2 linked regions of the Zea mays genome follow. The protein of the gene in region 1 interacts with the protein of each later gene in a pairwise test. Links are inferred from orthologs where the notes say so. Each region holds a gene or a part of one and is shown in the gene's direction. Other genes may lie near its edges.

Region 1 (10,400 bases):
GCAATCAGGTCGCCAGGGGTGTTCGGGGGCGGTTCAACCGCCCTAGGGGGCGGTTCAACCGGTCCTGGCCTGTCTGACCCGCCTGCAGGTCAGTCTGCCAGTCAGTCTGGCAGTCAGACTGGCAGACAGACTGCTGATTTGTCAGGGGGCGGTTCAACCGGTTTTCAGCGGGGTTTTTGGTCAAACGACTAGTTTTTGAGCCGTGACTATAAATAGACCCCTCTCTCTCTCTTCTTCAATACGGCTGAACACTCACTCATTTATTGCTCACCTAACTTGAGACAAAGCACTCATCTCTCCATCTCACTCACACTTAAATCTCCCTCAAGATTCAACCTTGTTGGAGGAGCTCTTGGGTGTGAGGTTTGTGCTTGTGCTCACGATTTGGTTTTCCTCTCCCATCTCTTTTACAAAGACTTGAGCTTGTGCAAACCCCTCTTGTGCGTTCTTGGTGTTCTTGAAACCCTAGGTTTCAAGATCTTTTGAGGTTGCTTGGGAGTCTCCAAATTTGTGGACGACCCCAAGAAGTTTGTATCACCCGCTCTTTGAGCTAAGATAAGAAGAGATTGCCTTGACCTTTGTGGTCGGCTTTTGGAGGATTAGGGTTGAAAAAGACCCGGCCCTTTGTGGGCTCCTCAACGGGGAGTAGGACACCTTTGTGGTGTGGCCGAACCTCGGATTAAATCTTGTGTCTTGTGTTCTTGCTTGTTTTAACTTGAGATATTTTTACTTGCAAGATTGACATAAAGATTTTTTCGTAGAGTTTATCTAGAAGTAAAATAGCCTTTACATATTCATCTTTTCATCCTCACTTAGCTATATCTTACTTCTCTCAAGAACTTGCAAAATACTTTTTCGAGTAGATTTTAGTCTAAAGTTTATAAAACAGTTGGATTGGTTCAGAGTGGTTCAACTTGCGCACGTAGCTGTTGAACCGGCCTGCACCAGTCGAACTGTGAATCTAACAATCTTTCGAAGTTTGTTGTGAAAATTTTCAGATTAGCCTATTCACCCCCCCTCTAGGCTACTTTCAGTATTCCGCAACAAGCAAGATGAGCATGCTGTGGTGAAAAGGAACAAAACCCGACTTGTGGCCAAATGTTATTTATAAGTCGAAGGTTTGGACTTTGATGAAACTTATGCACCCATAGCTAGGCTTGAATCAATTCACATATTACTTGCCTATGCTACTTATCATGGCTTTAAGCTTGAACAAATGGACGTGGAAAGTGCCTTCCTTAATGGACCCATCAAGGAAGAGGTATATGTTGAGCAACCTCCTGGCTTTGAAGATAGTGAGTACCCTAACCATGTGTACAGACTCTCAAAGGCGCTTTATGGTATCTATCTCAAAACCCTCTTGAAAGCTAAGAGGAGAATTTCATTCAGGGAGAGTTTTTATCTAGTCAAAGGAAAAGCATTTGAAACAGGGGGAGAAATTTCAAATCTTAAAAATGCTTATTGCAATATCATTCCTATACCTTTGACTATTTGCAAAAACAAAACAAGTGGTGCAAATGTGGTCTAAAATGTTAAATAAAAGAAAAACAATCCATTCATACTTTGTGAGATTTTCAATTGGTTTAACTCCAAGCAACCTATGCAGATTCTAAATGCAAACTAGTTATATTCCTGCACTTTATATTTACTTTGGTTTGTGTTGGCATCAATCACCAAAAAGGGGGAGATTGAAAGGGAAATTGGGTTAACCATTTCCTATAATTAATTTTGGTGATTGATAATCAACACAAACACATGGACTAACTAGTTTGTCTAGAATTCATGTATTACAGGTGCATAAGGTTCAACACAAACCAAGAAAGAACCAAGTTAGGGACACAATTTTATTGGAGCAAAAGGACTTGAGTGTGCTGAAGATTGGCGCACCGGACTGTCTAGTGTGCCACCGGACAGTGTCCGGTGTGCCACGCCCGTACAACTCCAAACCAGTCACTCTCGGGAATTCCAGGACGCGCTCCGCTATAATTCACCGGACTATCCGATGAGCCAGCGGAGCAATGGCTATCCAGCGCCAACGGTCGACTGCAAAAGCGCCTGCCACGATGAACAGTGCGCGACAGAGTCAAAGCAGCAAAGTCAAAGGGCACCGGACTGTCCGTTGTGGCACCGGACTGTCCGGTGCCGCAAGAAGACAAAGTCTCCAACGGTCGACCAGCTCTAAACCCTAACAGTTGGTTGGCGTGGCGGCGCACCGGACAGCGCACAGTACCTGTCCGGTGGCGCACCAGACTATCCGGTGCGCCCATCGCTAGCAGCCTTGGCCAACGGCTACAAGGTGGCGCACCGGACTGTCCGGTGCGCCCATCGCCCAACCACCACATCTTTTGGCATCCAAGTTTTTCAGAGATCACATTCAATACAAGAGCTAATGCATTCACTACAAGACACATTTCCAAAAGATCAAACCCTCTCCAAGTCTAGAATTCATCTCAACCATTTAGTGACTTGAGAGAGTGTGTGTTCGTGTTCTTTTGCGCTCTTGTTTCTTGGATTGCCTTTCTTCTTTTCCCATTCTTATTCTCAAATTCTTTGTAAGCGAAGTAAGAGACACCAAGTGTGTGGTGGTCCTTGCAGGGTCTTAGTGACCCGTGAGATTAAGGAAGAAGGCTCACTCGGTCTAAGTGACCGTTTGAGAGAGGGAAAGGGTTGAAATAGACCCGGTCTTTGTGTCCTCCTCAACGGGGACTAGGTTCTTTGAAACCGAACCTCAGTAAAACAAATCACCGTGTTCACTCGTTTGATTCTTGATTGATTTGTTTTCCCCTCTCTTCCGGACTTGAATTTAATCCTAACGCTAACCCCGGCTTGTAGTGTGTGTTTAAAGTTATAAATTTCAGGTTTCGCCTATTCACCCACCCTCTAGGCGACTTTCAGATTTAAAATCGAAAAAGTTGTCAACTACAAAATTTTATAACTTCTCGAGACATGCAACTTTCATTTCGGTGTTTTTTTCCATTCGAGGTCATTTGAAAAATTCGAATTTTAATTTTTTTGAATTCATACGTAGTTTTTCGTTGACAAGATGACTCCAAATTAAAAAGTTGCCAACTATAAAATTCCAAAACTTCTCAAGATCTACAAAGTTTATTTTAGTTATTTTGTCATCTATTCATCCAACATGGTGGTTCTAACATTGTTCACAAATCTTATACATCTCTCTTGTAGTTTACGAAACTACAAGAGAGATAAATTTTGCGAACAAATATAATTTTATTTTGTCATATGAAGAAACGACCAATGCAAATAGAAATTGTACATCTTAAATGAGTTATACAACTTTATAGTTGAAAACCTTTTTATTTGAATTGATTTACTGCTTTAAAATGTTGTTCGAAAATTGTTTTTGCCTAGTCGTATCGGAAAAAACACTCAGTAAAGAAACTATTTGCATAGTGTAAAACAACACTCGGCAAAGAGCAGCAAATAAGCTCTTTGCTAAGTGTTTTTTTTACCGAGCATTTTTTATGGGGTACTCGATAAAATAACTCTTTGCCGGGTGTCTGGAAAAAACACTTGGTAAACCATTGGCACTCCAAAGAACCGGATTCTAATAAAGAGGTCATGGATTCCTAGCCACGTCTAAGTTTTTGGTTGACTAGTATACTCCATTATATTTGACCATATATGTGTGTGTTTACAAAGCCATATTTCTATATGTATATGCATGGCTTATGTCCAATCTAGTTTTGTAATTTGTTTTGACGTATCGGTTAAAAGGGAACCAGTAGAAGAGTGTGCTGCTTGCTTAGTGGCCTAATTGCAATAAATCTACCATTGTGAGAGATCGGACAACTTTATTTGGTGTATTTCCTTCTCCCGCACACAGAGATGCATAAAGGTCAATTCACCAGCAAAAGGGGTGTGCCTTTGTGCGTGTGCTTCAGGCTTTACATACACCGTTGGGGGAGAGGAGGTAGGGTGAGGAGAGGAAACTGCTGGAGAGGGTGAGAGCAAGGGGAGCAGCGGTCGGGCAGCCATGGGGCACCACTGCTGCAGCAAGCAGAAGGTGAAGCGTGGGCTGTGGTCGCCGGAGGAGGACGAGAAGCTTGTCAAGTACATCACCGCCCACGGCCACAGCTGCTGGAGCGCCGTTCCCAAGCATGCCGGTATGCTCCGGCCACCCATCCTAGCCAGTAATTCAAAGAAGAAATTGGATTTGTTCACGTCCTGACAGTGGCGTGCTGTGCTGTTGCCAAATCGGCCACAGGGCTGCAGCGCTGCGGCAAGAGCTGCCGCCTCCGGTGGATCAACTACCTCCGGCCGGACCTGAAGCGCGGAACCTTCTCCGACCACGAGGAGCGCACCATCATCGACGTCCACCGCATCCTCGGGAACCGGTACGTACGGGCATACTTCTTGCCGTCTATCTTGCTCCCTGCTAACTAGTGACTCACCGGGGCCATGGTGCCATGCCTCGTCTGGTCTGTGCGCGGCGCGCATGCCAACTCCGATCCAACTCACAGATGGGCGCAGATCGCCAAGCACCTGCCCGGGCGCACGGATAACGAGGTCAAGAACTTCTGGAACTCGTGCATCAAGAAGAAGCTCATCGCGCAGGGCCTCGACCCCAAGACCCACAACCTCCTGCCGGCCTCCAGGACTCTCCTCCACGGCAACGGGGCAAACCCTAGCAGCAACAATCCTGCCCACTTCAACTCAAACGGCTGCGCTGCTGTCGTCTCCGTCGCCACGACGCCCTTCACCATCAGCTCCCCGACCAAGGCCGCCGCCTACGGCACCGTCACGGCCACGCCGCCGCCGGAGACGATGGCGCCGGCAACGTACGACGTCCCTAATAATTACCCTGACGGCATGCTCATGAGGCATGATCAGGCAGCCACGGCGGCTGCGATTCCGGGATACCCGTACCACCCCGGAAACGGCGGCGGCGTGCTGATGAGCTTCAGGGACCAGAATGCTGGTCTCCAGACATCTGTGGACTTCGTGAACGGCTCCTCGTCCTCCTCCTCCATGGATCACGCCGCCGGCATGCCTAACGGCAACGGCTTTAGCCAACAAGGCATGGGCGCGGCCTTCATGGACGTGACGGCGGGAATGTGGAGCACCGCAGCCGTGGATTCTGGCATGTGTGCAGGGATGGAAGTGGCTCAGCCACCGCCGCCGCCGCCGCAGCAGCCGCTGCCACCACAAGGGCTGGTGCAGGGGGAGGTGCTCGTCGGCCGACAAACTGTGATGAACGGTGGCGGTGCAGTTGCTGACAAGGGCATGGACATGATGGACGTCTCTTCAGTGTATGGCGGCGCCGGTGCAATGGCGTTCGATCTGGAGCTGATGGAGTCATGCGCGTTGTTTTGCGGCAGCACCGGCAACACCATGGAGCAGCTGCAATGGGACTGCTAAGCTCACTATCGTCCTTACCCCTAATTAGTTTGTTGTCTTCCATGCTTCATCCATGTCTTTATTTTTCCTCTTAATTTTGATGTTCGATTTACTGGGTTCTTGATTCAGATCGTCCTTTTAAAGCAAGAAATCCATGCTGAGCTTAGTGACGAACTCGATCTAATTCAGATTTCAATAAAGTTATCTCAAATTTTATTGATTGCATACGCTCATTAGTCATTATTTGTTGATTTCTTCACCGTGTGGTCGTCTAGCTCTTCTGAAGTTTTACCTTTGCAAGCAAACTGGTAACGAACGGCAGCAGAAATCACACTTCTGAGCTCTGAGCACAACACACACACCAATCTTTATCTTTCTGCAGTCTTTTCTTGCACTGCAGTCAACTCATGCAAGAGGAACAAGTCAGTTACCAGTTGGCAGCAACAACACACATATACGTTTCAACCTTTTAGTGCAAGGAAAGTTGTTGAAATTTGTCAATTTATGCAGAGGCACACAAGTTTCTCCAACAAAAAATGTACTTTACATATACTGCTTGCAACAACACCTTTCGTCTCATCCAAGTATAACCCTATGTTATTTTAGTGATTTTGCAAAGCATATATATGCATGCATTGCACAAAGAAACAAATTACTTCAATTTAAAAGGAAAAATGAGAAGTACTTCAAGCATGAATTCACTAACAAACATTGCATGCACATCATTGCAACCTTTCATGATATAAAAAAACAATTGACCTTCCATCTACGATGATCCTGCAGCAAATTAGTGGACAAGATGCAACTATAATGCAAATGCAGTGAAATATGAGTGGTTCCATACTAGAATGTGAACTAAGAACTAAATGAAAAATGCCAGTCAAATTTTGAAAGGTTTGCTTACATCCAATTAGTCCATGGCCCATGCATTACAAAAGATGATGTACCAAAAGCAATAACGAATGGCACATAAAATACTGTTGAATTCAGTAATCATATCTGTATAGCTATACTGCTAGTAGAGGAATGTGTTCGTTCATCAGCCTTGTATATTAAGATATATATATTTAATGTAAGAGCATAATGTATATGTGGGGCGCTATACTGATTTTTGTAAAGCTTATCCATGCATGCACCTACTCTTTATTTGGACAATAGAAGAATGTGGCGCAAAAAGTATATAATATATATGGATGGGATACACACATATGTATGTATCTACATAAAGTTTTGCATAGCAAGTAGACTTAGGGCACGTTTGGTTACTTTATTCCAGGGACTAAAATTTAGTTAGGAAACTAAAGTTTAGTCCCTACCATGTTTGGTTATAGAGACTAAAAGTATTCAGAACGCATTAAAGGAATCATAAGGGGACCGAAATATCACTTAGCATTCTCTTGTCATTAGTGCAACTAAAATAAAGGAGGGGCAAAAGGTGGAATCAATATGGTTTAGTCCTTTTTAGTCATCCCTTGAGGGACTATAGACTAAAACAGTTTAGTTCCTGGTCCCACCGTTTGTCAACTTAGGGACGAAATGGGACTAAAATGGAGATACTAATCTTTAATCCCTCAAACCAAACAGGACCTTAGGTCATATTTGTTTCTCTCGTAGATTATATAAGTTGAATTATGGTGGAAGAGTAGGAGGTTAAAATATTACTTTGGGTCACAAATAAGCTGAAATAAGCTACCCAATGCTAGCTTATTTCAATTTATTTATAATCTCAAAGTGATATTTTACTCTCCTACCCTTTTACCATAATCCAACGTATATAATCTAGTAGAAAAACAAGCACACCCTTATTGCAAGTAGTGCATTTTGCAAATGGAGGATAACTAGCTACTTGATCCAGAGTGCCAGACTAGATCAATAGTTTAGGCAAACAAACTTGTATGTTGAATGTACCGACTACCGAGTGGTATAAATGTGTGTAATCCCTCCTTTTATAAAATACTTGCATGTTGAGCATCCATGCATGTCAAAGAGTCCAAGCACTGTGGCTGGTGCGCATGATCTGAGATCTGCGGTCGAGGTTTAACGATGACGTGCAACACTAGTCCTCCGATCAAATCGGACCGCCCACGCTACCCTGTCCGAAACGGTGCTCTCAATCAGATATGAGCCGCCCAACTCGTGATCAATGGTCTACGACGCCCCTAGCTGCGATGACGCCGGCGACGACCGCGAACACCAAACACGCGGCGGCGCCATTGCCGCCTGTGGTTTGCCGACCCCTCAGATCATGGAGGTGCTAATCGTCGAGACTCATGGAGGTGCTAATCGTCGAGAATAACCCTTTGTTGATGTTGTCCCACAGCGCGGGGCGGCAACCCCGCCATGCCCACAACAGCAAGCGGTGCCCCAACTTACCCGAAGCCCGGAAACCACAGATTAAGGTACCAATACTTGCGGGAGAACGTGAGGAGACAGTGGTGACACTTACAAACGATTTTGACACCCGATTCGAGGGATTTCCCAACCCACGGCGCCGCGATGGTGATGATGGTCACCGGCGAGGGGATCTAAGTGCTCGGTCGCACCACCCGTTGATTAATATCCCGTCGCGACACTCAGACGGCATGGCCAGCAACCGAGAAGCACGACAGGAGATCGAGACTCAACGTCGGCGACGATTTACAGCGATGGCCCCGAACCCTCTTCTCTCTTGGTTCTCTCGGTGGACAGAGGCTAAATCGAGCCGGACGAGTCAAGCGGGCACCCGAACACCCCTGTTCTTATAGGGGTTGCACGGCTAGCACAAATTCTCCCCTCGAGACCGGCATACATTGCGGGGAGTTGTTGCAACAACCCCGGCGTCAGCGCACGTGAAGGAGACGAGCCTGCGCGCACGGCCCACCTGTCAGCGAAAAGGTAATCGTGCGCGCGAACAAGCCCCACTGGCACGGGGGCCCAGGCGTCAGCGATGTGAGGCCGAAGTGCACGCGGGCGGTCGGCTGACACTGCGGACCCACCGGCAGCCGCTGGCTTGCGGAGTCAAGGTGCGCACGAGTAATGGGCCAAATGGGTCGCTGGCGCGTGCAAGAGGGAAGAAAGAGATGGGTCAATTTCAAGGATTTGGTCCAATTTGTATTTTCTTTTCCTTTTCTTTTTCTTGCCTTTATTTCTTTGTTTTATTTCTATGGCTTCATTTCAATTCCCAATTTCACAAAGTCAAGTGCAACAGTAAAGAATTCAGCATGGAATAATTATTCATGGCCTAGCTTGATCTCATTATTTGGATATGCAAAAAAGAGAAAAAGGAACCAAGTAATCCCATGGTCTTTAATATTTCCAAGACTTTATAAATTTTTAAACCCCAAAATTTGGGTATTACATGGGGTTGGCTTCCAATCCGGGAGCCAAAACAACATCAAACTTAATGCCCATAGAAACAAGATTTCCAATTTTGTTAAGGGCAAGGATCCCATGGTAAAAGATAGATAAGGTTACATTTTATATCCTGAAAACTATCCTGAGCATAAGATTAAAAGAATTCATGCTAAGAAATCCCATCATTTTGCTCATCATGCTTATATTTACAGTAATGAGACTTCTAGTTCTAGGCATACAACTCATATTAAGATGCCTAAGAAAAGATTGTTGATGCATCAAATGAACATAGCATTTCATTTAAGACCTTTGATGCATCCTTTGTTCTTACTAACAAATCCAGCAAAGTAGTTGCCAAATATATTGAGGGCAAACACAAGAGTCCAAAGACTTGTGTTTGGGTATCCAAGGAGCTTGTTTCTAATGTGAAAGGACCCAAGACTGTTTGGGTACCTAAGGACAATGCCTAAATTTGTGTTGTAGGTTTATGCATCCGGTGGAACAAGTTGGATAATCGATAGCGGGTGCACAAACCACATGACAGGGGAGAAAAGAATGTTCTCCTCATATGAGAAAAGTGATGATCCCCAAAGAGCAATCACATTCATGGATAAAAATCAAGGTTTGGTCAAAGGATTGGGTAAAATTGCTATATCTCCTGACCATTGCATCTCTAATGTATTTCTTGTAGAATCTGTAGGTTACAACTTGCTCTCTGTGTCTCAATTATGCAAAATGGGTTACAACTATTTTTTTACTGATGTTGATGTTACCGTCTTTAGAAGAAATGATGATTCACTAGTTTTTAAAGGAGTGTTAGATGGTCAGCTGTACTTAGTTGATTTCACTGATAACAATGTTGAACTAGACACTTGCCTAATTGCTAAGACTAATATGGGCTGGCTCTGGCATCGCCGACTTGCTCATGTTGGGATGAAGAGTCTTCACAAACTTCTAAAGGAGAACACATTTTAGGACTAACCAATGTTCATTTTGGGAAAGACAGAATTTGCAGTGCATGTCAAGCAGGGAAGCAGATTGGAACTCATCACCCACACAAGAACATCATGACGACCGAGAGGCCGGTTGAGCTACTACACATGTATCTATTCGGCCCGATCGCTTACATAAGCATCGATGGCAGTAAGTACTGTCTTGTAATTGTGGATAACTATTCTCGCTTCACTTGGGTGTAGGGGTGGATATCGAGCCAGCTCGGCTCGGCTCGACCGAGCTCGAGCTGGCTCGTTAAGGAAACGAGCTGGCTCGGGCGCTCGGCTCGACTCGTTAAACAACCGAGCCAGAGAACCAGCTCGGCTCATTTGCGAGCTCGAGCTGGCTCGTTTAGCTCGCGAGCCACAACAAAAAATATTATACATGTATATATACAACAATATAATCAATTGCTAGTTAATTTCATACTAATTTAACACTAGAAAAGACTAACAATAATCATAATTTTATATATCACATCATTTAAATCCTAAATTAACATAGTTCATCACTTATTAATTCATCAAATACAAGTATAGGCTTTGTTTTACAGATAAATACTAGCTCATTCGAGCTAACGAGCTGACTCGAGCTCGTGTCGAGCTGGCTCGTTAACAAACCGAGCTGAGATGTTAGCCCAGCTCATGATAAAATTGAAACGAGCTGAGTCGAGCCGAGCTGAGCTGACCACGAGTCGAGCCGAGCCGAGCTGA
Region 2 (11,147 bases), about 23 Mb from region 1:
GTATACATGATAATGTTTTATATTAATAACAATTAACATGTTCTTATTATAATTTAAGTAGGGACAGAAATCACTGTCGAAGATTTATCTCCACGGGGAATGGTGATGGGGAAGAAATGCCCCCGCGAGCATTCGTGGAGATCCTCACGAGGAAATTTTTTCTTTACGGGGATAGGGATGGAGAGCTATTCACCGACGGGGATTTCTCCGTTGCAATCTCTAGTAACCAACCAAGCATGCACAAAACAACATAAGATGTACTTTATCATGTGATAAGATACATTTGACCATTTGTTGCAAAAGGAAAATAAAATGCAAGGGCTACTCCAACAACTTAGTATACACTACATACACCGTATATGTACAACCAAGAAGAACAGAGAAGACATTCGCCGTGGGTTCTTAGAGTATGAACCATCAATCGTCTATCAGTTCTTAACGGCAACTTATCATCACCTCGTCTGAAAGGTTATCAGGGCAGCACGAATTTTGCAGTACGGCCAGAAGCCTGCAATTTAGCAACAAGGTTATAAAAAACAAACGATGTCAAAGGCCACGGAAAAAAGAATGAAGGCAGCGACATTCTGTTGCCCCAACTACCCCCAAAACCACCTCCTGTCTGTCACGTGACAGCAAACCCCACACAAGAGTTCAATACCATCTTTGTCAGTAAAAGACCCAGGATGCATGGGGATTTGAGAGGTTTGATGGCCATATAATCCATTGATAATCAGTTTTAACTAGCAAGAGATTATATGTCCCTCAATTCACTCTAATCTCTATGTATCCAAACAAGCCCTAAGGAGCCAAGGTTGCTCAAAAAAGAACAAATACAAAACAATAGAGGCAATCATTCAGGTATAGAAAATGATGATTCCAAAAATCACATAAGGACATTTTATCTGCTTATTAACAAAAAGGTACTAGTGGTTTCTCCGCGGAAGTTCTGCAGGGACAAGAAGCATGTCTGATGCGGCAATGAAGGGTTGATTTGGTGACAAGAGGATCACAGGAGGATTGGAGAGGATTGAGCGAGAAATAAACTAATTTCCCCCTCAATCACCTCCAATCCTCCCATGATCCTGGGTCACCAAATCAGCCTAACCAAATAGCCAGGAAAATACTCATGGTGTGTGTTTTAGCACCCTGACAATTTATCTGTTTATCAACAAAACGGTACTGTTGATTTATTAGTTATTACCCATGCAAGTTCTACTTCGACAACAAGCATTACTGCTGCTGCAATGAAAGATAGAAGTATAATTGAATCGCCAGAGGAAATACCAGTAGTGTGTGCTTCAGCACAGTTCCCGTGCAGATATTACTACTATGTTCACGAGATATCATCAGGCGGACATGTGGAACAGATTTCCAGCTCTCACCAAGAGCAGGCTTGACAGCACCATTGCCAGCTGAAACCATATGATTGGTCACCTGGATTCAATGCAAAAGAGTAACTCAATGAATGAACTTAAGAAAAAAAAACTTTTGTTTACAGAATTGGCAGTGTTCACCAAAATACGTTTGCTGTCTGATTCAAATCGATTCGTAAAACCAATTGTTTAAGCGAAATAGTTTATGAATGAATACAGGAAGCCAAGCGGTAACATAAACTTCCATTTCAAATGCTAAACCAGAGGTGGTATTCGGTATTCATTGAGTCACCAATCATCCAGTGATGGTATATCCTAAATTGATATATATGGAAGGTAATCGTTCTTGGCATATGATGTTCACCATTTTTTAGGTCATTGGTTTTCTTTTACACCATGGTTTTCAGGTCATTGGTACATTTTATTACAAGAAAATCGTGAAGACTGAAGAACAAAATCTATGTATTGGTCCATCCTTGGAACCTTCCTCACTCAAATACTTGGAGCTAACTGGTAGCTAGTTCAGACTTCAGATCAGGGAAAATGGAGTAGGGAAACAAGAAACTGCAACATATTTTTTTGTGGCCTGATTCCCACGAAGTACATTAGCAATGGACACCCATGACAAAACCATCAAATATGGAATTTGGCAAAATCTTGTTGCTGCTCCTCCAAAGCAGCCTATATCGCTTTCTTTGTGGCCACAATATAGGTTTGCTCCATGGGAGTGTACTTAGAAACCTTGGGTTTCTTTGCACCGCAAATTCTTGGCCATTCACAATCACAGTTGGACAACAGATAGGTTTGCCAAATGTAAACTACCGCACCCCAACTGCTGTGCATTATGCGATCAAAGGGATGAGACTATGCAGCACTTGCTGATTTTATGTGTCTTCTCTAGGCAAGCATGGATTGTCGTTCTCCACTGGCTGGGGTCTGCAACAGGAGCTGAACTCTACACCTTTCTGCTCATGGTGGAGCCAAGATCTTAAACAAGTTGACAAGTAATTAAGGGGCTCAATTATTTGTTTATTCTAGTTGCTTCACAAATTTGGAAACATCATAATGACTGTTTTTAATGGGACGAATGTGTGGCTGGTAACTAGAACCATTTTAGAGAAAGGAGCCTTGTGGTGTTATGCAGGTGCAGATTACAGAAATTAACTACAGACAGCTGTTTTGTGGTTGTCACTTTTATGTTTAAACAGCCCGTATGTAATCTCATTTGTTCGTGTGATTTTCTCTGAACTTTGATGTTTTATTCTTTAATGGAAAAGTAAGCAGCTTTCTGCATGCTTGGCCATGTTGAACTGTTTAAGGAGTGGAAGGTAGTATACAAATTCAAGACCAAGCACCTGAAAGCGCAATTTATTTGCATGTACTTTTCTTCAGATCAAACATCATGCAAATTCAAGACCAAACACCATATAAATTCAGCCTATTGAATAAGGTCAAACAATATTCAGCGTGCAATTTCAGGTGTTATATTATTCAGCATCATTTTCAAGATAATCACCACGATATCAGTTCCTATTTTCTCCATGCATGCAAACAAGAGTATTACTGAGTCAAGATTGCATAGTTGCATGACAAATTTGACAAATAAACTGAATACATATATTGTATACCCATGACAAATCAAAATGATAGATTTTTTTTAAAAAAGGTATATTCATATTAACAAGCAGTTTCAACTTTCAACCCAAAGAGTTGAATTTGAATCTAAGTGGTGCTACACCAAGTGAACTAGTCTCAATTGCTCCAAACATGCTCATTTCAGAGCATGCAATTAGCATTCCATGAATGCTTACCAAAAACTGGGGTTCAAAAAAATTACCAGAACAGCTAGATTATGCTCATAGGCTAACTTCTTTAGGATCATCGCCAGTGATATCATCATCGATCGCCCTGTCAGTTTATTAATACAGGTTCAGAGAAAAGAGCCAAAAGCTGTGAATTAAGGATGCCTTCCTCTTAGGAAGCAATAACAGGGAATTCAATTTATGACCAGCTAAAATTATAAATTAGCAGTTGCACCGTAGATATTATTATTAAGTTTATACTAAATTCATAAGCTATCTTGCATAAGCACCGATCCGATTCAGTTCCAAACTCACAGAATCATATCTAATTTATCTCAACCTCTCAATATCACTACATAAAGTCTGATTTACTGTATGCATGCAGTGCTAATGTACAACTTATGTCATGCCAAAAGGGGAGGATTGTAGATAAGGCTATGAAGGCGGTACCTTGTGGATACTTGCCTCCAATAATGGGAGCAAGTAAGGATGATATTGAGTCAATTATAAGTAAGCAAATTCTCCTGCCATCACCTATTACCTGTTACACGTGCCAGGTGAGAGAAGTATTTGACAAGAAATCTGAAACCATATGCAATACTTCACTCATACCTTTTCATTCAGTAGAGAAACTTCAAGTTGATGTAGTACTTCAAACATACCAAATATATCAAACACAGACTCGCAGATGATGCTTTGCATCACAGTCTTGAGCCTCTCCTTAGACAGCAAGTCAAAACCTGATTACTGTAGATCTTAAGCTATATATAAAACATATGGTAAAACTTTTGCCAAGAAACTGCTGGAGAATTGAAATAAATTATGAGAACTCAAAGAATGACAAAAGGCAAGAGTAGGCTAGACATATGGTTGATTGTCTACCTTTTTGATCAGATAGGTCGTTAGTTCCATCAATTATGGTGGCAATACGACTAGGAGAGAAAGAATTACTAGTATCCAAGTACATAACCACACCCGTATGCTTCACTGGAGCATGTGAAGCAGAATGTAGACAAACCTGAAAAATGGTATATATGTAAGAGCATGACTATGATTTAGCCCATAATAGTTCCAACAAAATCATTCCAAGCAGTAACCATGGGCAACGACTGCTATGCAAACAGTGCTTCTGTGCAAACGTGCAAGCAAACCATCTGATCCATTAGATTACGATCCAACCACAGATACAACCACTGGTTTGTTAGGGGTTTTTTTATAAAGATTATTGAGCTGGTGGTGGAAGGGTTTAAGTGTTAAATGTGACTTACGGTTGGATCACGATCTAATGGATCAGATGGTTTGCTTGCACGCTTGCACAGAAGCACTGCTTGCATAGCAGTCGTTGCCGTAACCATGAGCATTTTAAGTGTGTATAAAAAGATAACTCATCTTCTCACCTGTGTTTTACCAGAAGATGATGGTCCAGTAACCTCTGTGAGCTGACCTTGGCGCAGCCCGCCCCCAAGAAGTCTGTCAATGCTGTCAATTGAAAGACCACATGCTTCAAAAAAATGAAAGGTCACAAATGATACTAGGATCATATTAATCACAAAAAGTAATATAAACGAGGGTGTTAACATAGCAAATATGAGATGAAGACTGAACAGAGAAGGCATGAGTATGTATATGTTCAAGGTAGAAGTACCCTTCAAGTCCAGTAGGTAGGACATGCTTGTTTTCAGTGACGTCCTTGAGCAAGTCGATCCCACTCCAAATTCGCCCACACCGATCTTCCTTAGAAGGCTGATCTTGATTCATCGTCTCCTCCTGTGTGTATTATATCATGGATGGAAAACAGTCCGTGATTCAGTAGTACAAAATTTCTTCGCTACCCCAATGTGTCGTCAACTCAGCTCTATTGGTTGACAATTGCCGCATTATGTTGTTACTTGCAACCCCTCAATTCAATTTGCGACGGATTTCCAGTTAGTGGACCAGTTACTTGTGGGTTTTTGATATTGCGGAGAAGGTCATTTGTACTTCTAAGGGCTGGTTTGGTGACAAGGGAATTGGAGAGGATTGAGGGGGAGAAAATCCCTTGATATTCAATTTTTACTTCTAAATGTTATGATGGACTCCTCTCCCCACTAGCAAGTCGAACGCAACGTCATGCGCAGTGTGTAGCATCAGTCAGACTAACATTTCTAGTACAACAAACATTCATGCGTGATGCGTTGATAGCAGGCGAGCAAATACTAGAAGCAGCAGTGTCACAAGAAGAAAAGGAAGAATGCGAACCTCCTGGTCGTGTGGTGCGTAGCGGCGCTTGAGACCACAGCCGGATGTGGTGGCTTCCCTTCCGCCACCGGCCGCCGCCATGACGGCGCCGAGTAACTGTCTTCCACGGACACTACCGTTGGAGACCTCCACCAGCACGCGGTGCCCCTGGAAGGTAACCACTAGGGCAAGATAGGACGCCTGCCCCTACGGAACCCCGGGACCGAGCGGGAACGGCGGCGGCCGCGTCGGGCGAAGGAAAACGAAGAAGCCGAGACTGAGTACTGGGCCGGCCCACTTTGATTATTTGTAGCGAAGGTAAGCACAAGGAATTCCTAAGCACAATGACAGGCCCAATAGCCCAATGCGCTGAATAGCGCAGCATCCTTTCCCTTCTCCCCCACCCTCGGCCTCGCTTCCAGCCATCCGCCGCGGCTCGTCTCCGTCTCCCGGCTCCTCGGCGTCTAGCTCGTCAACGCGCGCGTCCGCCGTCGGCTCCTCCGACCGGCGTCCCACCACAGGGGAATACAGATCGACGATCCGCTGGGTGCGTCTCATTTCCCGGCTCGCAGATCTGACCAACTGTTGTGTGTTCCGTTCGTTGGTGTACGAGAGTAGCTGGGGTCTCCGCGGGCAGTTCTTGCGCATAGGTCTTCCCCGTTACGGAGTATTGTGTAGTCACTTTGCTTCAAGAACCATTGGGGATCGAGTATAATTTGATGATTTTAGGGCAGTTCACGGTGCCTGTTATGTTTGTTCTATTGTGTTTTCACTATGGTTATTTATTTGTACCTTTTTCTAGCGTACTGGGTGTTTGTATGCATGATTGATCCGCTCATTTAGGGGGTGTTTGGTTTAAGGAATCACTACATCCAAATTGAGGTGGTGCATCATGGGTTTATTCCTCAAATTTGGTGGGATGACCCTATTCTTCATATTAGTACTAACTAATTAACTATGAGGAATGAGGTGGTGATGGATCAACTCATTCCATTCCACAAACCAAACAAAAATAGTGAGGAGTGAGAAGATGATGGACTAGCTCATTTCTTAAACCAAACACCTACCTAGCCCTTTTACATAATCCATGTCCAATGCAACCATTGGCTTTCATTGCCCTCAGCAATTTTTAGGGTATTAGTTACTAAGGTGTGGTTTGGTTCACGAAATGTAACATAAATGGTAATTGTAATGATTCACGTTCGATTACCGGCTGTAACAAGTTTGAATAAGACGGTATTAGTTTCTAGTGTTATTACGGACTTAAACAAACATGGTTTTTTAATGTTATCTATTACCGTTCACGTTACAAATAAATAGGTGAATCAAACAGCACCTAAGATATAGTACGCTTATCACTATAGTGCTACTACTTTCCAGCTCCTGGAGTAGCGAATATTGTTTCAGGGAAGCAGAGATATTTCCTATTGTTGCTGGTTCCGTCTTATCTGTGTACTGATGACTTTTAGGCATCCCGTGCGGTGCAGGCTTGCAAACATGTATATCCGAGTGAAGCGCAACAAGAGTACCTACTTCATTCAATGTGAACCAACAGAGACAGCTTTGAGCATCAAACAGAAGTTGCACTCGCTGATAGATCAACCTCCTAGTAGTCAGCAGTTGGTCTTGTGGCCTAGCAGTGATGTGCTTGAAGACTCAAAGACTTTGGCAGATCAAAAGGTACCCCTACATCTAGCTGCTTCTGCTTCTTTACATATTATTCCTAAGATGATTCTGTTTAGGCCCCGTTTGTTTCGTTGGAATTGAATTCGATTCTAATAATCATAATTTAGACACGAACTAATTAAGTTAATATATTTGTATATGTAATATATTTGTATATTATCCTAAATCATATGAGATAGTTATACACTACACTTATGCTATAGAGAAGTAAGTAGAAGAGTGTGCTATAAGTTGTACATTGGAAAAGTAGCATGCAAATCTATAAAATCAATTTTCATCTTTCACTCCATGAATTTAAGACAGGCTTATGTATCAACTTTAGAAAGTTGTGGAATATCACATTCTAAAAAGTAGTCTATTCCATTAGTTAGATTCTAATTCCTCAAAATGAAGGGAAACAAACGGGGTCTTAGCCTAATGTGCAGTCTCATTATTCTCATAGAACATCTATAAGTGAAGTCTGCTTGCTAATGCAGATATTTATTTTTTCAGTCACATTAAGTTTAGTTTGTGTAGCCTTAGCATATCGGTTTTCTTTGAAGATTAAACCCACAGCTTGTTTATTGCATTTTACCAGTTGCGTGATATTTTCTTTTTTTATACTTGTTCAGGTGGATAACGATTCCATTGTTGCATTGGCACTAAGAAAAGGTATCGTGCTCACTTGCTGAATTGTTAATGGGTTTTTGCCTACTTTTTATTTTCCTTATCTTTCAGGTAGTGCCTTTTGCATTATTAATGTTTCTTTTCTTTTTTGCTTACTCTTAGTATACCACTCGATGGTTATGATTATTGCCCAGCAACTGTTTACATTTGTAGAAAATACCTTATATTATGTCTTAGGTCATCATTCACTAGTCAGCAGCTTGATCTGTCTTCTGGACTGCGGGTTTGACCTACCAAACCATATTATTGCTGATGCCATTCTTTCTCTAGCAGAAATTTACACATTTTCCCTCATTTCTATGTTAATAATAAGCTAAGAAGAATCTATGATTGCAAAGTGGTTTATCATAGCATAACAGCAGGTTGTCCCTATTCTAAATAAAGTGAATGCATGATGCTAGTCCTTTTCTAAAAACTCAACCTACTCAATGCAGCTTCTTGCTTTCCTTGTTCCGCCGTGGGTTACCCTTTCTATAGCTATTTCATTTTCGGTCTGATAGTTCCTGACTGTAATTTCTGTTCCTTCACCAGATGACGGTGAGTTTGAGGAAGTTTTCATCGCTAGGCCGGAGGATTTCATGTCATCATCATGATAAAGATTAGTCCATCATTTCTACAAAGGGACCACTGCGCGTTCTTGGAGTGGACCGTCGCTCTATGCTGGTTCTTCTAGAATCTGGGATGTGGCTTGCTTGTCCCTTTGGGAGGAAAAAGAAAATCTTTTATGTGAGATCCCAAACAACCGTTGTGGATGATATTAAGCTTTGATTTGACGCTCCAACTGATGCCGTGCTTCTTGTACCTACTGGTGTCTGTCTTGGTGTTGGGATCAGAGCGCACCTAATTGTCCTTTTTTGTACCAGCTGTTGTATGCGAATCCATCTGTGCCTTCATCACCTAATGCACTCGCTGTTGCTGCTGGCATTCCTGGTTGGCCCCATTGCTCGATTCAACTGCGCTGTCGGTCACATAATGGGCAACGCGTTTGGTTGGCGCCACAAGATTACGACGACAGTTTTGGGCTTGTGGTTTCTCTTTCTCAGGGCAAAATTTTAGTGAATGTTTGGACAGATTTCGTCTGCTCTTACATTAATGGTTCTTTTTTTTTTTTTTTGCCTTTGTAAGTCAGTTTCATAATTTGGCAGAATTGTTGCCTACTTTGGTCCACCCTTTCCGTTCTACAAGTTTTTTAATTTGCCGTTTGATTGCAAAAGTTCTTGCGAAAGTGACAGAGGCGACTTCTCAGGAGCTTCAGCTTTTGATTTGGTAGTAGCAACTTTTTGAACAACTCAACGCTGAGGGTTTGTTTTTTGCTTGCATATTAAGTTTTGAACGCAGACGACGCGTACGGAACGTCCTACTCAAACTGAAGTCAGCGTTGCTGTCCGTGTGTGTTCCCCATGAACAGTCAAATAAACATTGTGATCCACAATATTTTTCCATGATTTATCACTCTAATTCAATTTCATGGCCTCGACATCCAAACGAGCATAACAATTCAACTACATGCACACCCCTGCATACGCCACGCGCCCACGCCCATTCAACAAAAGAGGACCAAATTGTTAAGCTTCTCTTTAGGACACGGGATGTTTTTTTCACCGTTTTGAATATTTTTTTCTAAAAAAAATAAACTGGGTTCCTACAAATTTTTTACATGGCTTTTGTAAATTTTATTTTGTGTTCTTAAAGGGGTCTGGATGGTTTCGAACAAAGAAACAAAACGGTCAAATCGGAATTAACTAAGGCGCCCTTTTAACGAACAAAGAAGCGGAAGATAAATAAATAAGTCAAGTACGAGCGGAGTAACCACAGAAATTACCCGTCTATATAACTCCAGAACAACAAGAATTAAGCATAGGCAATTTGATCCGAGTACGCGTCCTGGTCGACGCCAAAGTCAAACGGAAGAAATTGGTAGCCTCTTCTGGTTTTTTATTTTTTTATTTTTTTTGCAAATGGTCCACGAAGACCAGGTTCAGCAAACGCACTCGTTCATCTCTCCATTCCATGCCATGCCATGGCCCCTCCTCGCTTTCGTTCGCTTTGCGCTTTTTGAGTTTAAAAGAAAAGAAGAAAGCGGCCTTGCCCACGTTTCAAACCATCTTGAAGAAGGAGATCGAGAGGCATTCCTACGGCACCGTCTTTTTTTCCCGATTCTCCTGTTCTTGTTTGTGACTTGTGAGTGAGAGCGGGATCCGACATCCGAGGAGAGGTCGAGGCCGGGCAAAGTCGAAGTCCGCGCTCCGGCCTCCAGCTGACGAAGCAGGTAACGACCATTCTTCCCCGCCTCCGCCGCGACGCGTGTTAGGTTGCTCACGTGATCTCGCTGTTGGGACTTGGGAGTTAGAGCTGTCTCTTCTTGCTTGAGGCTCCTCTCATCTGCGGGGACCTTCGTGATTCTTCGCACCCGAACCTTGGCTTTGCTCTTGCTCCTCTGGTTGCTGGGGTTTCTGGGGACCGGCTTGCTTCTAGAGCTGAATCTCACTCACCTCGAGTATAAAACCAGCCGCCTTCGGATCTTCTCTCCCTTCTTCTCGCGGGGGGTTCTTCGCCATTTCGGAGTTGCAAATTGCAATCCCACCAGGGATTTCTGTCGGCTGCTTAGGTTTCTCCGCGTCGCGAGCTTTGATGAGAGGTTATTCCCGCATTTAGTGGAGCTGGTTCTCATCTGCTCCTCGCCTCCCTCATTACTGTCTCTACTGAATCCTATTTCAGGGTCTCGTTTGCTTTTTTTCTTCTCTCGCAACCTTTTGGGACTATTTGTTGCTGGTATACTCTGTTCAGCATCATTACTTGAACCAGATTTGCAATTAGCGCTGCATTGGCAACTACGCTGGCCCATGGTGAGCTTCTTTTATCAGCAGCTGACGCAGTGACGCCTGACTGGCGGTAAAATCTGTATCTGGTTTACCAGGATGCACTGTGACGCGCTGGCCCATGGTGAGCTTCTGATGCCAATTAGGACTAAACATGCTTCCTCGCTGCGCTCAAGTGGGAGAACAAGAAATCAGCCTAGACACTAGTCATCTGCTGCAAGCAGAAAATGGTATAGCACAGTGCTCCTGGACTACATTTCACCTGTGCCCAATACTTGCTGGTAGCAGCAATGCCTGATCATTAGAAATTGTGTTTGCGCCTGCAGCACCCTTATTCACTTAAGAGTTCCAAGGGAGCACCAATTCTGCCACGGCCAGTCTTCGTTTTCTTCATCGCGACATTTGGTTTCTATGTATGCTATCTCTCCTTCAATCAGATAACGCTAGAGAACAACAGAGAGGGGAATAGTCGAGAAGAACAAAGGGACGATATTTGCAGAAAGCCTTATGTGCCGTATGAGGAGCTCAGTTATGTGCACTTTCCAAAACCTACAAGTTATAGCAGGTAAGATCCACCACTTGAC

What was found.
Region 2: the proteins of transcription factor MYB21 (region 1) and uncharacterized protein LOC100285884 interact in a two-hybrid assay, tested with the Arabidopsis thaliana proteins (2 studies listed by BioGRID). The link is inferred for Zea mays from reciprocal best matches to the Arabidopsis thaliana genes MYB67 and AT5G57860.

What each region holds. Positions count from the first base shown.
Region 1 is NC_050102.1:156,548,374-156,558,773, forward strand, and holds transcription factor MYB21, read left to right. Parts: upstream 1-3,872; 5' UTR 3,873-3,997; coding exon 3,998-4,127; intron 4,128-4,228; coding exon 4,229-4,358; intron 4,359-4,484; coding exon 4,485-5,382; 3' UTR 5,383-5,586; downstream 5,587-10,400.
Region 2 is NC_050102.1:179,106,242-179,117,388, forward strand, and holds uncharacterized protein LOC100285884, read left to right. Parts: upstream 1-5,758; 5' UTR 5,759-5,939; intron 5,940-6,879; 5' UTR 6,880-6,889; coding exon 6,890-7,072; intron 7,073-7,689; coding exon 7,690-7,729; intron 7,730-8,275; coding exon 8,276-8,337; 3' UTR 8,338-8,667; downstream 8,668-11,147. Other genes in the region: DNA repair protein RAD51 homolog 4, read right to left, coding at 473-508, 1,285-1,434, 3,211-3,281, 3,626-3,716, 3,788-3,915, 4,058-4,193, 4,573-4,654, 4,821-4,942 and 1 more; P-loop containing nucleoside triphosphate hydrolase superfamily protein, read left to right, coding at 10,791-10,793, 10,890-11,128.